Tribolium castaneum: one gene and its partners. Each later gene encodes a partner of the first gene's protein in a complex. Links are inferred from orthologs where the notes say so. Each region holds a gene or a part of one and is shown on either strand. Other genes may lie near its edges.

The links. Proteins that work in one complex are often made in the same cells at the same time.
Region 2: the proteins of sxc (region 1) and TGF-beta-activated kinase 1 and MAP3K7-binding protein 1 are in contact, whole or in part, in a crystal structure (PDB 4AY6), measured with the Homo sapiens proteins. The link is inferred for Tribolium castaneum from reciprocal best matches to the Homo sapiens genes OGT and TAB1. Residues at the interface, in NP_858058.1 of Homo sapiens: Asp441, His506, His508, His509, Asn567, His568, Pro569, Gly641, Tyr642, Thr643, Lys644, Ala646, Gln849, Phe878, Pro904, Val905, Ala906, Pro907; in NP_006107.1 of Homo sapiens: Pro389, Val390, Val392, Pro393, Tyr394, Ser396, Ala397, Gln398, Ser399.
Region 3: sxc (region 1) and dgt1 share a complex: the UniProt entries of both Homo sapiens proteins name them as parts of the NSL complex. The link is inferred for Tribolium castaneum from reciprocal best matches to the Homo sapiens genes OGT and KANSL2.

What each region holds. Positions count from the first base shown.
Region 1 is NC_087394.1:6,431,432-6,437,161, forward strand, and holds the start of sxc (UDP-N-acetylglucosamine--peptide N-acetylglucosaminyltransferase 110 kDa subunit), read right to left. Parts: upstream 3,793-5,730; 5' UTR 3,647-3,792; coding exon 3,523-3,646; intron 3,470-3,522; coding exon 3,259-3,469; intron 1-3,258. UniProt on the Homo sapiens protein: Catalyzes the transfer of a single N-acetylglucosamine from UDP-GlcNAc to a serine or threonine residue in cytoplasmic and nuclear proteins resulting in their modification with a beta-linked N-acetylglucosamine (O-GlcNAc).
Region 2 is NC_087395.1:17,238,600-17,242,992, reverse strand, and holds the start of TGF-beta-activated kinase 1 and MAP3K7-binding protein 1, read left to right. Parts: upstream 1-1,165; coding exon 1,166-1,856; intron 1,857-4,393. UniProt on the Homo sapiens protein: Key adapter protein that plays an essential role in JNK and NF-kappa-B activation and proinflammatory cytokines production in response to stimulation with TLRs and cytokines.
Region 3 is NC_087396.1:19,996,703-20,001,417, reverse strand, and holds dgt1 (KAT8 regulatory NSL complex subunit 2), read right to left. Parts: upstream 3,229-4,715; 5' UTR 3,123-3,228; coding exon 3,088-3,122; intron 2,789-3,087; coding exon 2,286-2,788; intron 2,233-2,285; coding exon 2,061-2,232; intron 2,014-2,060; coding exon 1,850-2,013; intron 1,793-1,849; coding exon 1,656-1,792; intron 1,607-1,655; coding exon 1,484-1,606; intron 1,435-1,483; coding exon 1,291-1,434; intron 449-1,290; coding exon 77-448; 3' UTR 12-76; downstream 1-11. Other genes in the region: CycT (cyclin-T), read left to right, coding at 3,501-3,649. UniProt on the Homo sapiens protein: Non-catalytic component of the NSL histone acetyltransferase complex, a multiprotein complex that mediates histone H4 acetylation at 'Lys-5'- and 'Lys-8' (H4K5ac and H4K8ac) at transcription start sites and promotes transcription initiation.

The DNA of each region.
Region 1 (5,730 bases):
TGACTCGCTTTAAAACTTTGAATTATTTAATTTTTTATGATCTATTTATTACGTAAATACAGGTTGTTTCCTCAAATTTTAAAACAAAAAATTTATAAGAAACTTAGCAAGAAGTTTAACACGATATGATATTAAAATGTTTACTACTTGAAATATTATTTACTGCGACTTTTATCTATGACAAGATTAGAGAAAACTTGTACAGATTTTTGATCCGTAGCTTTCTGTATTTACTGCTTTTCTTGGTTTCTCTTTACTATTTGAAAAAACTGATTAGAAGAGCTAAGAGAACAGCCGTTTCAAACCTTTAAACAACGTCAAAATGGCATTTGTACATTTATAAAAAGGAATAGATCACAAAAAAGACTTTTTAAAAATTTTTTAAAAAATCTGTGTAATTACAAGTAACAAATTTTGAACGATGAAAACCCATCATTAATTAAAAGAAAAAGATAATCACAAAAAGTATTAGTTCATGTTACACAAAATCAGAGAAACGACAAAATGCAAAATGTGACACATGTTTGTCAGTTTTGAATTATGTATCAGACTTTAACGATTTTCGATATTAAAATTTAAAATTCAGAAAAATAGATTAGGTCTTTATTTTCATAATAAAACATTTATTTTTAAGAAAAGTTAGATGAAATCTTCAGTACTTATTTTAATTGTTTTTTCAGAATAGCGCCAGTTATTTTAAGTATTTTAAGAAACAATAAGTAACATAATGGATTTTAATGATAGAAAATTGTACAGAAATTCCAAAAAAATTCACATGAACCGAGAAAAGTATGAAGTGTTTTAATATCAAGCCCTGATTGCCTGATTTCTGTGTGATTACTAGTTTTTGAGCTACAGTATAACCATATGCATTATCCGATTTTTTTTAATTATCATTGTCAAAATCAGGTACAAAAGTAGTTCATACCGCCTGAAAATGAAAAATTGAGAAACTAAATAAAAATAAAAATTGAAACATTAGGTTTTCCTTTCTATTTTTATTAAACTAAAACGAAAAAACACCATATTTGGTCAAAATTGACCAAAAAATTACTTTTTCTACGCGTTTATTTAGCAAAAACTCAATTATTGTGCAAAATTTCTTAAAAAGTAAGCCAATAAATCAGAGAATTATGTCAAAAATTACATTATTTTTGCAAGTTTCGAGGATTTACACTCGTTTTAGACTAAACATTAGGTTTTTCTTTCTATTTTTATTAAACTAAAACAAAAAAATCACCAACTTTGGTCAAAATTGACAAAAAAATTTTTTTCCCAAGCCTTTGTTCAATTATGTGCAAAATTTCTGATAAAGTAAGCCAGTAAATCACAGAATTATGTCACAAATTACATTATTTTTGCAAGTTTCGAGAATTTAAACACGTTTTGGACCAAACATTAGATTTTCCTTTCTATTTTTATTAAACTAAAACGAAAAAATCACCAACTTTGATCGAAAATGACCAAAAATTTACCTTTTCTAAGCGTCTATTTAGCAAAAACTCAATTATTGTGCAAAATTTCTTAAAAAGTAAGCCAATAAATCACAGAATTATGTCAAAAAGTACATTAATTTTGCAAGTTTCGAAGAGTTAAACACGTTTTAGACCAAACATTAGGTTTTCCTTTCTATTTTTATTAAACTAAAACGAGGAAATCACCAATTTGGTTAAAATTGACCAAAAATTTACTTTTTCTAAGCCTTTATTCAGCAAAAATTCAATTATTGTGCAAAATTTCTTAAAAAGTAAGCCAATAAATCACAGAATTATGTCAAAAATTACATTATTTTTACAAGTTTCGAGGATTTAAACACGTTTTGGACCAAACATTAGGTTTTCCTTTCTATTTTTATTAAAGTAAAACGAAAAAATCATCAACTTTGGTCGAAACTGACCAAAAATTTACCTTTTCTAAGCGTTTATTTTGCAAAAAACTCAATTATTGTGCAAAAATTTCTTAAAAAGCCAATAAATAAATCACAGAATTATGTCAAAAATTACATTATTCTTGCAAGTTTAGAGGATTTAAACAAGTTTTAGACCAAACATTAAGTTTTCCTTTCTATTTTTATTAAACTAAAACGAGGAAATCACCAACTTTGGTCAAAATTTACCAAAAATTTACTTTTTCTAAGCCTTTATTCAGCAAAAATTCAATTATTGTGCAAAATTTATTAAAAATTAAAAAGTAAGTCAATAAATCACACAATTATGGCAAAAAATACAAGTTTCGAGGATTTAAACACGTTTTTAAACCAAACATTAGGTCTTCCTTTCTATTTTTATTAAACTAAAATGAAAAAATCACCAACTTTGGTCAAAATTGACCAAAAATATACATTTATTTTCTAAGCGTTTATATAGCAAAAACTCAATTATGTGCAAAATTTCTTAAAAAGTAAGTCAATAAATCACACAATTATGTCAAAAATTACAAGTTTCGAGGATTTAAACACGTTTTTAGATCAAACATTAGGATTTCTTTTTTATTTTTATTAAACTAAAACGAAAAAGAAGACAAAGTCAAAGAAGACATTTTTTGCAAGTTCTAGGATAAAAACCCAAAAAAAATCAAAATTTGATCGAAAATGACCAAAAATTTACATTTTCTAAGCGTTTATTCAACTAAAACTTAAATGGCAGTTGTTTTGTTTATTTTAAAAAGTAAACACACTAGCACAGATAACGTACCATTTCTTTCATAATCCAAACCAAAAAACGTTCAAAATTTTAAACAGTCGTTAAACGAGATTTCTATAATCCTAAAACAATTCCCGTAATTCTCAAAAAAATAAATCGATCAAAATTGAAAAAAAAACATAGTTGAATAGAGTATGAAAGCAGCTGCGTCACTCGACCCCTGTGGCAATTGAAATTTCTTGAAGGGGTGGCTCTGAGCACTAGAGGGGTGCAAATAACTTTAAAGAAAGAACTCTAAAAAATAAAACTTGGTCCCCCTTTAATACAAAATTGACCTGTTTCAGCATTTTTCCAAACTTAGACGATATCAGGGATCTTAGAGAATGCAAATTTTAGTTATTTTCACATTTTTCTCCCCCCCACTATCACCTCTTCAAATTTTTACACAATTTTTAAAGCCACCCCTGTATTTCTGTAGTTGCGAAAAGTCCGCTAGAGGACACCAACTTCGCTAACTTTCTACAGTGAACAAATCATTCAGAAACCTCTTATAGGTTTTTAGATTTAGAAAAAACTGTAGAACACTCATGGAATAAGCCAAAACAATGAAAAATACCTGTAAGCTTCGGCGAGGAGTGGATTTTGTTTGATTGCCAAAGTGCTGAAATGTGCGGATTTGTCTAAACGCCTGCACTGGAAATGTATGCTTGACAAAAGCAGTAAAACCCCCGTATTGGTCTGATCCTGTCTCCACAACTGCATACAGTGCCTCTCTGCATTTTCATAATCCCCAGCTTGGTACTCACGATGGGCAAGTTCAAGAAGCCCTAACACACAAAATACGTAAACAATTGCCAATTTCACCATCACAAAGACTCACCAACGGACGAAAGCTGCGGAACATCATTCATCTTTAAGACAATGGGACTACCGGTGATGGGCAACCCGCTGTTTGTTCCAGAACTGAGATGGTTCTGACCATCGACCACAATCTGGTCCTGCATGGTAAAGCACGCCGTTACACCAACATAAACCCTATCTGACCTATTTCTGCACACTTTCACCACAGTTTTTCACCAAAAAACGCTCTAAATTACAACAATCGATTCTCTGATGGCCTCAAATGGCCGCCACTGAAGAGAGACAACTGAAGAACTGTGGTCAAAGCGCAGCTGCGACCTGATTGGTCTTTGAGCTGCTGGAGCTGGCGTGTGATTGGTGGAAGCGAGTGGAAATTTCCATTCCATGGTCCGTTATTTACCTGGATTTGGTCGTCAATGGGTGCGAAGGGGCCCACGACGATTTTTTGCGATTCAATGGGATTTACCAGATGGGACCATTTGCACTATTCCCGGGCTGTGACGAGCTTCGGAGCACAAAAAAACCACAAGGCGTCTTATCAATTTCACGCCCGATGAGGTGCGATCGGTAGGCCTTGAATGGCACGAAAACGCCCGAATGCGGGGAAATCACTAAATGGCGCAAATTTTGATTTTGCAAATGCGAATTTCAAATTGCGACAATAAGTGACACATTAAATATTACTTCAAATATTTGTCAATAAAATCAAACTCCAATGTGGGAAAATTTAATTACTAGCAAAATTCAGGCAAGGGAAAGCACAGGGTTACCCAAATACAAAATCTAACAAACCGAAAATAATAATAACAATTTTTTTAATAATTAGATTAAGAGATTGCGGAATTGTGTATTTTTTGCCGTAATTGTTAGCAATTGTTAACAATTCAAAAAGCCATTAATGACTGTTTAATTTTTTTGTGTTTTTTTTTTTAGAAAATCACCACGTTGTGGTAAAGACAACATTTTTTTACTGTTTTTGCGTTATACATATTAGTACTTAAAAATACAGGGTAATTCAAAAGTGACAGACCATCTCTCATATGGTGTTAAAAGACAAAAATTAAGTCAGATTTTTTTTTCAAACAATTTTGATATATTTTTTGTTCTTTTGTTTCCTATGACGTCGAATTTAATTTATTGTCAAATTTGCAAGTTTTTTATTTCTTTTGTACATCATGAAACATTAATTGTTGATTTTTTCAATATGTATTTGTTTAATGTTCCAAGAGCTGTCGTTTCTGCTAACTAAAGCTAAAAACATACGATCTAAAGCAGCAAAAACTTAACTTAAAAATTTAACTTAGAAGAGCTATATCTCGTGAAAAAGGGCTCTAACAATTTTTTGTCATAGAATTTTTTTTAATTCAGTTTGTTTTTAATCTAAATTTCTTTGAAAGTATTTCCGACTTTTTTGAATTACTCTGTAGTATATTAGACAATCAAAATTGCTGAACATTAATAAATAATGATAATGACTGAAAAATTACGTTATTTTTTTTCTTTTCAAGCCAAAAACTCCCTAATTACTTTAAAAAACCATTTTTGCGACATGATATCGAAATTTTGTCACAAAATTGAGTAATTTAGGTCAAAGTTGAAATTATTTTTTTGTTCTTTGCGTTATATTATTACGTTTTTTTTATCTAGAAACGTAATTATTTCACACAACTTTAGATAAAACAATCTAAAAGATTGCCAAACTAAGCCACAACTGCGTGTTTTTTTTTACTTTTTTTAAGGATTTTTTTTTGACGAACACTCTAATGTTACTTCTTGTTGGATATTCTTGGCGTGAAAATTAACCAAACCAAAGTTTAAGTTTGGTTTGTCAAGTTTTTAAACTTAGTTTTAGTTAACCCTAATTTTGTCAAAAATCTTCCAAAAAATGAAGAAATTGATTCAAAAAATAATTTTTTGAGGATCCAAGCTTTTGAAGATTACATTATTTTCCAGTTTTTGTGTTATTTTAGCACATTTATAATCAAAAAATTTAGGTATTTTACGAAATTTTTCAAAAAATAAGCTTAAGAACATCACTTTTAAATTGAGCCAAAAAATGCGGTGTTTTTGTTTATTTTCCAGCGTCTTTTGCGAGAAACGGAACAGTTTAAAAAAATTCCGGTAAAAATTAACCAAAAAAATTAGGGTTTAAGCTCGTTGTTTGGATAAAAACGCAGTTTTATTTTGTTTATTTTGTTATTTTTGTATTATATCGAGTGGTAAACCG
Region 2 (4,393 bases), on another chromosome or scaffold:
TATGTTTCTGTTATTAACCGACAACAAACTTACGTAACAAGTATTAAAAAATTTAAACCAAAGAGACTTAAATAAATTCAATGTCTGACGCTATTATCTGTGTCAAATCGTGACTTTGGATTCAATACCAGTTCTAATACACGTGGAAAGCTATTCAATCGGTTTTTTATTGTTCCTTTTCTATTAGAAAAACACAACAATAGCTTCCAATCAATGAAAGAACGAGGAAAACAGATAAACGAACGTAATTTATTAACGTGTGATTAAAGATAAGGGTGTTTTGATGAAATATCGATTCGTGTTAGCAAAGTAACGGTGTTATTATTGTGAGAAAAACACAAGTGGAGGGCTTCGTTATGAACTGTGCCACATGCAAGGAGAATTAACCACAAAAAATGCCTGGCTTACAAAAACGTTCCGGAAAAAACCTCAATAAACAATATTATCTCTGGATCGGTTCATTGACTTTATTACTGTGTAAAATATAACATTACAACTATCCACCACGGATTGCGAACGAGTTTATTATTAACGTTCTAAATTTAATAGGTGGACAAGAATGTCTGGATTGTGCGGTTCCGGGACATCAAACCAGACCTTGAGAACGTAAGGGGCCAACCGAGGCCGCCACCAAAAACAATGCTAATGCTAATACGAATAATTTCGTCGTAATAAGGCCATAATTGGGGCTATTTTCCAATCAAATCGCGCCTTTTTCTGGAGGTGAAATCAAGCGAGCTTACCTGACTTGGACACGATTTATGGCATCGTAAACGAAGAGAATTTATTGGGTTTGCTAAAATTTAACGAAATTTAGTAAACATAACGGTATTTTTACTGCAATTTCTAGTGAAACGTCACAAATGTCACAATAACACAATCACAACAAAAAAAGTGGGTCGGGTTTGGGGAAAACAGGCTGGACACACGAAATTCAATGTCACTGGTGATATAATTTGCTGGAACTAGACCAAGTTATGGTAATCCCCTTATTAATATTACATCGTTAAAAGTGAAAAAATACAGTTACACTCTCGAATTGTATGTTTGGAGTAAATACGAAGTGTTATTTAATTTATGCCGTCCGGTCACGTGGTATCTACACCAGAAGTGTTGCCAACAGTGGTTATTGCCATTTTTTAGGTTATGTATTTGTCAAAAATATATGAAGCCTCTAAAGCCAACCGAGACAATTTACAAGAGCCAAGGGACATGGACCGACGCATTGACAGTGTGCAAAAACGCCGGAATTGGATATTCCACCAACCAGATCTACCGCGAGGACGGCAACCCCCAGGAGGACCACCCGTATGAAGACTGCAGCTGCCACTACGAGTTCAACAACGGCACCTGCTGGTACGCGGTCTTCGACGGGCACGAGGGCCAGAAAGCCCCGCATTTCTCGTCGCAGCTGACCGCCGAAATCTACTTCTCTCAACTGACCGAGAAGAAGACTGACGATGAAGTGAGGGAGATCCTGAGACAGGCGTTCATTTCGGTCGAAACGGGGTATATGCAGTCGATTGGCGACCTGCTGGCTGACAGATTAAGGCTGCAGGATGACTTACCCGAAGGCTCGAACTCGTACGAGGCCTATCAGAAGGCGCCCCATGTCGTTGAGAGTATTAAACGGATCAATTGTGAGCTGTCGTCAGGGGCCGCCGCTGCCGTCGCTTTGATTCACAACAATAAGTTATATGTGGCTAATGTCGGAAATTGTCGCGTATTGTTATGCAAAACTGATGCAAATTCGGTGTTGAAAGTCGTCCAGTTGAGTGTCGACCACGATTTGAAGAACGAGGACGAGTTGCTGAGGCTGGCGCAGATTGGGATCAATCGGGAGTATTTGAGGAATTGTAAGTTGGAATTCTAGCCATAAAGCAATAAAATAGTTATTACACCACAAGTTTAAAAAAGCGTTAAATAGGGTTCTTATTTTTCTAAAATAAATTTTTCGTCGCGACTACGGAGGACTGTAGATTAGGAGACGAAATGAGATACAAAGTAGGATTTTCTCTAGTCCGGCGAAGTAAAAATGAGGGCGCTTCGAGCGTTAAACCGTCTCGGTGCAAATCGTTTTAAATTAATTTAAATTCAATCAATTCACTCATTGGAAAGAAAAAATGCAGAAATGTTGAGCTTTGCATTCTTAATAGGCAGAAAAAATGACTAAAATTTTCACGGGAACCAAGAGACAAAAATTTATGTTAATAATACTAACAGAGTATTTTACACACCTTAAAATATTTTATTCTTCGACACTGTCAAAATTTACGGTTTTTCTCCTGTGTAAGGAAGTTTTGACAACTGTTTGGCATTTCTCAGTACGAAACGTCAGATTATTTTTAACAAATTTAAAGCAGTTTTAAGCCTTGCTGAGTCTATTTCGAAGAATAAAATGTTGTATTCAACTCGTTTTTGTGTAAATCGGTTCATTTATTTCGCCTCGTGGATGATAAACCACTCGTTTTCACTCGTGGTTTAAAAATCCACTCGTGAGATAAAGCGTCCGATTTACACTCAAACTCATTAAATAAATAACTATACTTAGATTTCGGTTGGTATTACATAGACAAAATATTACTAAAATCATTCTGAATATAATCCTCAAACGGATAAAAGTTTTGGAAAACTGAAATAGTGCTTAAGGTTTTTGTGGAGGAAAATTTCTTTTTAGAAAGACATAAAATTTAATTGTATAATAGTTAGTTTCATGTCGGGCTTTTGTTTGCCTTAGATTATTTAAGGAAAAATAATTTCCTCTTGTACAATAATTTATTATGATTAGAACCTAGAAGAGAATATTCACTGCTGTGCTTGGAAAAATATTTCGAGACCTTTAAGGATACACTAAACTGTCTTTATTGCCTATTTTGTTTCACAGTTCTTCTTGAAATTATTTGATATTATACATTACGTATATTTACACTTCTGTTTCCCTTCCCAATTTTTTTTCTTGCACCCGTCACTTCTTTCATACATTTTTTCCTCTTGACTCCACACACTCTGACAAACAATGTTTATTTAAAAATATATAAACTAGAAAGTGTGAGAATTGGTAATATTTTTTTATATAGCTTTCAATAAAATGTTTGCCCTGACTTTGAGTGGTATGATTAAAAAAGTATTTGATTTTACTTCAAGTAAATAATTCACGTCGTAGTTTTACTTCAAATAAATATTACCTAACGTAGCATTTACTTCACAGTATACTTGAAGTAAGTAGTATAAGTAAATACTTCAGACTCCTTTATGTACTTTGGTATATAGAGGACAATACTATGGAAACTAGGTAAACAATAGAATATCGTACTTTAATAATTTCTGTTAAGTTACGAGTAAGCTCCATGATCTTCTTTTTAGAATTAGTTCTTTTAAAACACTTAATTATTTCTTTACTTTCAAAATAAAAGTTTTAACTACTATTACGTATTATTATGAAATATTTAATACTTATTCCAGTATTAGTACTTTAACAAACTCTGTAAAATAAGATACTTATTAACTTATGTATTCTTCTATTCTACAAAGTTTTAGAAATAAACCTTTATCCATTTGCTTGTAAATGGAATTTTCCAAAATTGTCGTTACTTAATAGAACAAAATTAATAGAACATTTGAATCAAATTAAAGTTAATTAATTAACAAAATCTCTATGACGGAAATCTTGTCATAAGGTTATTTAATAACGTATTCATCAGTTGCCACATTATTGGCAAGTTGGAGTCATTTTTCTTAAATATAGTTACAACAATGGGACTAACTAGAGTTAGAAGTAGGACAGCATTTTGAAGACATTAATTTGTTTTGGTTGTGAAAATTTAGGAAGATAAAAAAAATAATATTACTAATCAAATTACTGACCCATTTCCATTTTCTAAACTACCATATCGCCTACAAGGAGGCAATGTATGTAAATTTTGGAACCTAATGAATTACTTCAATTTAAACCACAACAAAAAAGCTCTTTTGTCGCAAAATACTCGCGATCTAGCTGTCTCTCTATTCGTAATTTATACCTTTTTTTATGTAATTTTTCTCCTTTTTGTTATCTGTTTAACTTGATATGTTTATACTTATATTTATAATTTTTAATTATACTATAATATCCTATTAGTATCCATTTTTGACGTGTTTAATTTCTGTGTATTCAGATAAGAGAACGAATAAATTATTAAATTATTATTATAATATAAACTAAAATTATTTTGAAAATATTTCGGTGTCAGGCATTTTTCCTGGAATAGCTGTCTTACTATTGAGAATTTAGTGCTCTATCTGTCTGTATTTTTTCTGTTAGCCTTGTGCTAACCGTTAAATAAAAAACCCAGACATCTTTCACAGTCAACGTTACTTCAGAAGTAATAGAATTACTTTTAATTTTAGTATGCAA
Region 3 (4,715 bases), on another chromosome or scaffold:
CGTACACAAAATTAATTCAAATGGCTTTATTGCGAATACAAAACGTGTAACAAAAAATAATACTTGGAACTTAAAACTAATTATCAGTAACTGGGGGCTCCGGGGCGGGTTTATCCTGCGAACTGTCTTCTTCCATCTTATCTTCGATTCTAATATCATTGGTATCTTCTTCAGGTATATCAATTTCTAGTTTTCCTTCGGGACTAGGTTCGTCGTCTACGTCGATTTGTACATCTTCATCCGGTTTTTCGTTCTCCGTGTCTTCGTTTTTAATACTAGCGTCCATGCTGGACTCTTCAAATAAAACAGACGGCAAGGTCTTCATTTCTTCCAAGTTGGGGCCGTAGTCTATAAATTCTGTCTTCACGTTGTCGGACTCTGACACCGCTTCCATCAACATGTTTTCGGGAGATTCAAAGGAATCCTCAAAGTCGGATTCAGAATTTTTCTAAATAAAAAAAAAAATATTAAAAATTATAATCTGCCGAAATTGGCTATTTTTGGTTTCTAGCCAGTTTTTTTGGCATAAAGTACCCACTATTTTAATGAATTTCAAGTCCTAAATTCTTTCAAAGATTTTTTAATTTTTTTCTGATTCTGTTTTAAATATTTCTGAAATAACTTGTGTCATTAATTCAGTATATTTTATATTTTTTTGTCATAAACATGCCTTTGTTACCATTTTGTTATGTTCTTTGTTTTTTTCCCATCAAGTTTAATCAGTGTTGCTTGTTTTATTTTTTAATTCTCCTTTTTTCATTTATTCAATTTTCATAAAAATAAGTATTTCGTCATAAATGTGTTATGCATCAAATTAATAACACTCCATTGAAAGTTTAAGTAAGAGAAGTATTTTTATTTCTTATTAGTTATTATGTATTTCACATTAGCACCGCCTGTATAATTTTAACGAATACCTAATACTATTTTAATGATATGCCAGCCATCTATTATTAAAAAATAAATCTTTATTAATCAAACAAATTTACTAAATAGTTCATAACTTAAAAGAATAAGAAACCAAACACCGGTTTTTTCCTTCATAAAATTAACCACGTGATTAAGAAACATTTAATCTTCAGAAATAGCAAACATGGGACGAATTCTGCTATGAAGCATTTTTTTCAATAGAAAATATTTATCAATTTTGTAATTTTTAACTAAAATTACATTTTCAGTGGTGGTGATAAAAAATAAATAATTTTAGCTCCTTTTAAGCTGTTTAGAAACAATTAGTCATAAATAGTGGCAAAATAGTTACGTATTTTTTTGTTTTTAATAACACCGTACCCTTAATTGCGCATATGATTTAATTGGAGGTATGTCCATATGCAAGTTGCAGCAACTGTCCTCAAAAATCGCCTCAACTGGTGTTTTACATTCTACATCCGCTCTCTTCTTACCGCACGGCCTGAATAATACTTGATTTTGATCCTACAATTTCAACACTTAAATGAAACATTACAGTAATAAAATAAATTACTTCTAAAATATGTTTCCTGCAATGTCTAGCCAGAGGCAGAGTTCTCTCCCCACACTTGACCCCACCTTCTGTAAACAAACACCGCGAGTAACCTGGCGCTTTGGAGAACATGCCATCTGTAATCTAATTTTATTTTTAATAAAAAAAAAATGTAAATAATTCGAATATGAACCTTAGCGCGTGAATCATGCTCTCTTTTATGAAGTATCGCTTCAACTCCGTGCGGTTTGTGGTACTTATTTAGCGCTTTGAGTTTTTTGTAAAGCCGCTGTTCTTTGGGATTTTCACGGATCTGGTTATAAATATTGCCTAAAAAACGAAACGAATTCAAATGAACTGGACGTAATTATTGTGATGTAATCTCACAGCAAGTTTCCTTTTCCCTCCTTAAATTATAAACATATTTTCTTTTGCATTCCTTAAAGACATGCTGCAAATGACGATATTGCTCAATGTATAACGACTGAAGCTTGATTAACTTTTCTCTCGTAATTGAACTGATTTCTTCAGCTGTGTACACATTCGCGTGCCTTCAAATACAAAAATTAGTCTCAAAAATAAAAAATTGCCACCTCACTTTAAAACGTCCTCCTGGTCTGAATCAACACTTTCGTTATCGGAACTGTCATTCTGTGCATCATGCCACACTGACGCGAACGTTGAAGCCTCAACATCGCTATCAGACTCACTACAGAAGTCCAAAACGTTGTTACAAGTGGAGTTATACAAGGCATTGGCGTCAATATCACCTAACACATTAATTTGTATTTGGAAAATTAATTTGAAAAAAAGGGTGGCTTACGGAACGGGTCCAAGCACTTGGTGCTCTTGGCTTCAGCCTCCTCCAGAAGGGCCCTCTCTGCCTCCTCTCCACTACCAGAAGTTGCCCGATTTCTGGGCTTCTTCAAGTAATGTCCCAACGAATATATCAGGACTTCTGCGGTTTGTGGCGGCTGAAGCCTCGAGTTCTGCCTGTTTTTCTCAAGTGTGACTTTAACTGCGTGATCGTTACAGTAGCCGCAGTCTTTCTTTTCGATTTTGGGGGCTGCCAGCTGGCAGCGTTTCCCGTTACTGGCGTAAATGTACGAGCACTGTCTGTAGGGGGCTGCCTTGTCTTGGAGGATGTGTTTGAGGCAGTAATTGAACCCGTCGAGGGTGAGTTGGGTGCATTCGTACGGTTTGTATGTGCATTGCTTTTTGTTCTTGAGCTCGATTTCTAGCTCGGCTTTGAGGGCGGCGACGTCTTTTTCTGCAGTCGTTGAAGGGGCATGGTTGGTTTTGAGTTGTTTTTCCGGAAACTGCATCCTGAAAATAGTGAAAGTTTAGTTTTGCGCGTCTGGCTTTGTTATTGACAAGGTTATGTTTGTTTGGCGGTATATTTCGAACGGTGGCAGCCAATGAGCAGCCGAGCGGAAATCGACAGCCGACATCTTTACTCAAAGCCATGCTTGTTGTGCGTTTGTGGATCTAAGGGCCTTAGTGGATTTCTGTGATAATTTCAGGGATTAGTTTAGGGATAATTTGCGTTTTTTCGGGAGTGTTGCGGTTTTCGAGTGTGTGGGTGGTTTTGGTGTTTGTTTTGTGGAAGTCGTGGGCTTGCTTACCGCGGTTGGTCGGCCATCTCTGAGTGAAATAACATCAAATTCCAACAACTTTGTGTATGTATATTTTAATTTGTTAAAGAACTACCTCTTTCGCGCGAAAAACTTTCCAAAAGCGTTTAGTAAACTTTAAGTAATAATTCGTGATCAATTCGAGACTTGCAACCGGAGATTTGCCCGTGAAAAGCCGACCCGATTTGCACCAGTGCCACTTCTAGGAAAACCCACATCGTAGTGACGCAACGGAAACCCTTGAAGCCGATTTTCTGGACAAAAGTGTAGTTAATGTGACTAAATTTCGCGACAATGCGCCCCCATTTGCCCCAATAAGACCAGCAAATGACCTGGAATAGCCTGATTTCGAGCCGTAGCGACACTTGCCTTGCTGTTATCGCGAGTCGTGTCGAGTGCAGTAAATGGCTAATAACAGCGATAGATGGTACTTCACGAAAGAGCAATTGGACGCTACGCCCTCGAGGAAATGCGGATATGATAGCTACAAGGAGCTGTCCTACAGGCAGCAGACTGCCAATTTCATCCAGGACATGGGACAGAGGCTCAAAGTGTATCCTTGCCGCATGCTTGCATTTAACACGTAGATAGCGCGAATTTCAGCCCCCTGGCGCCCCACGACCCTTGTTTTAGGTCATTGTGGAGCTATTGCGCCATGTTTCGTAAGTGACGTAGATAGCCCCCTCTACTGCGCATATTTGACGTTTCATGCAAATGCGATAAAGCGGCGTTCACACGACACGTGTGTTAAACGCACCGTTATTTTTATGCTTTTCAGGATTATTTCAACGTATTCTTTTCCAGAAAATTTATTATTTAACTCTTCTCTACGTTTGTTGTAGGTCAGCGGTTTTATTCATTTTTTTATTTTCTCTTTGAAGCAATTTTTCAATTTTTGTAGTAGTTTTGTCATTCTTATGCAACAATTTCATTTGCGATTTGTATGATGTAAAATAATTGTAATCTTTCACAAGAGTAAAAAATAAAATCAATTTCTTATTAAAAGATGTTTATATTTCTTGCAACTTTATTTTCAATTGATTTGATCTTGAAACTTTTCCTTTTTGTTTCAACTTGTTTTGAGTATGGTTGTGTTAAGTTTTTTTTATTATGTTCATACAAACGCACTATCTTATGCTCTTATGGATTTTTAATAATAAATTGATTTTTATTTACTTTTTAAAAATTTTAGAGCATTTCATGTCAGTGGACGTTTGAACGTTTTTTTCTATTTCTAAGTCAGAAATTTAACTTAAAATAAAATCAACATCAGTGTTTTTTATTACACAATCGCACAAATTCTTTCATATTACCACATAAACCTTACACTATGATTAATCAAAATAAAACCGACCACTGCTGACATTGCCTGAATGTCTACTGAAACGAACTGGGTCGACGAGTAATGTGGCTACAAATTTAAATTACATTTGTGCTATTGATAAGCACTACATGATTATAAAGTAAATATTTATTTACTTCGAATTTTTATGATGCACTAAACTTAATGGTGTACGTAATAATAGCCGCGGTTATTTTAAGAATTAGCTACGTGCTCGGACATATTTAAAAACGAGCCTAAGGTCGTGAAAATTTATAAAGAAAAATAATTTTTGGGG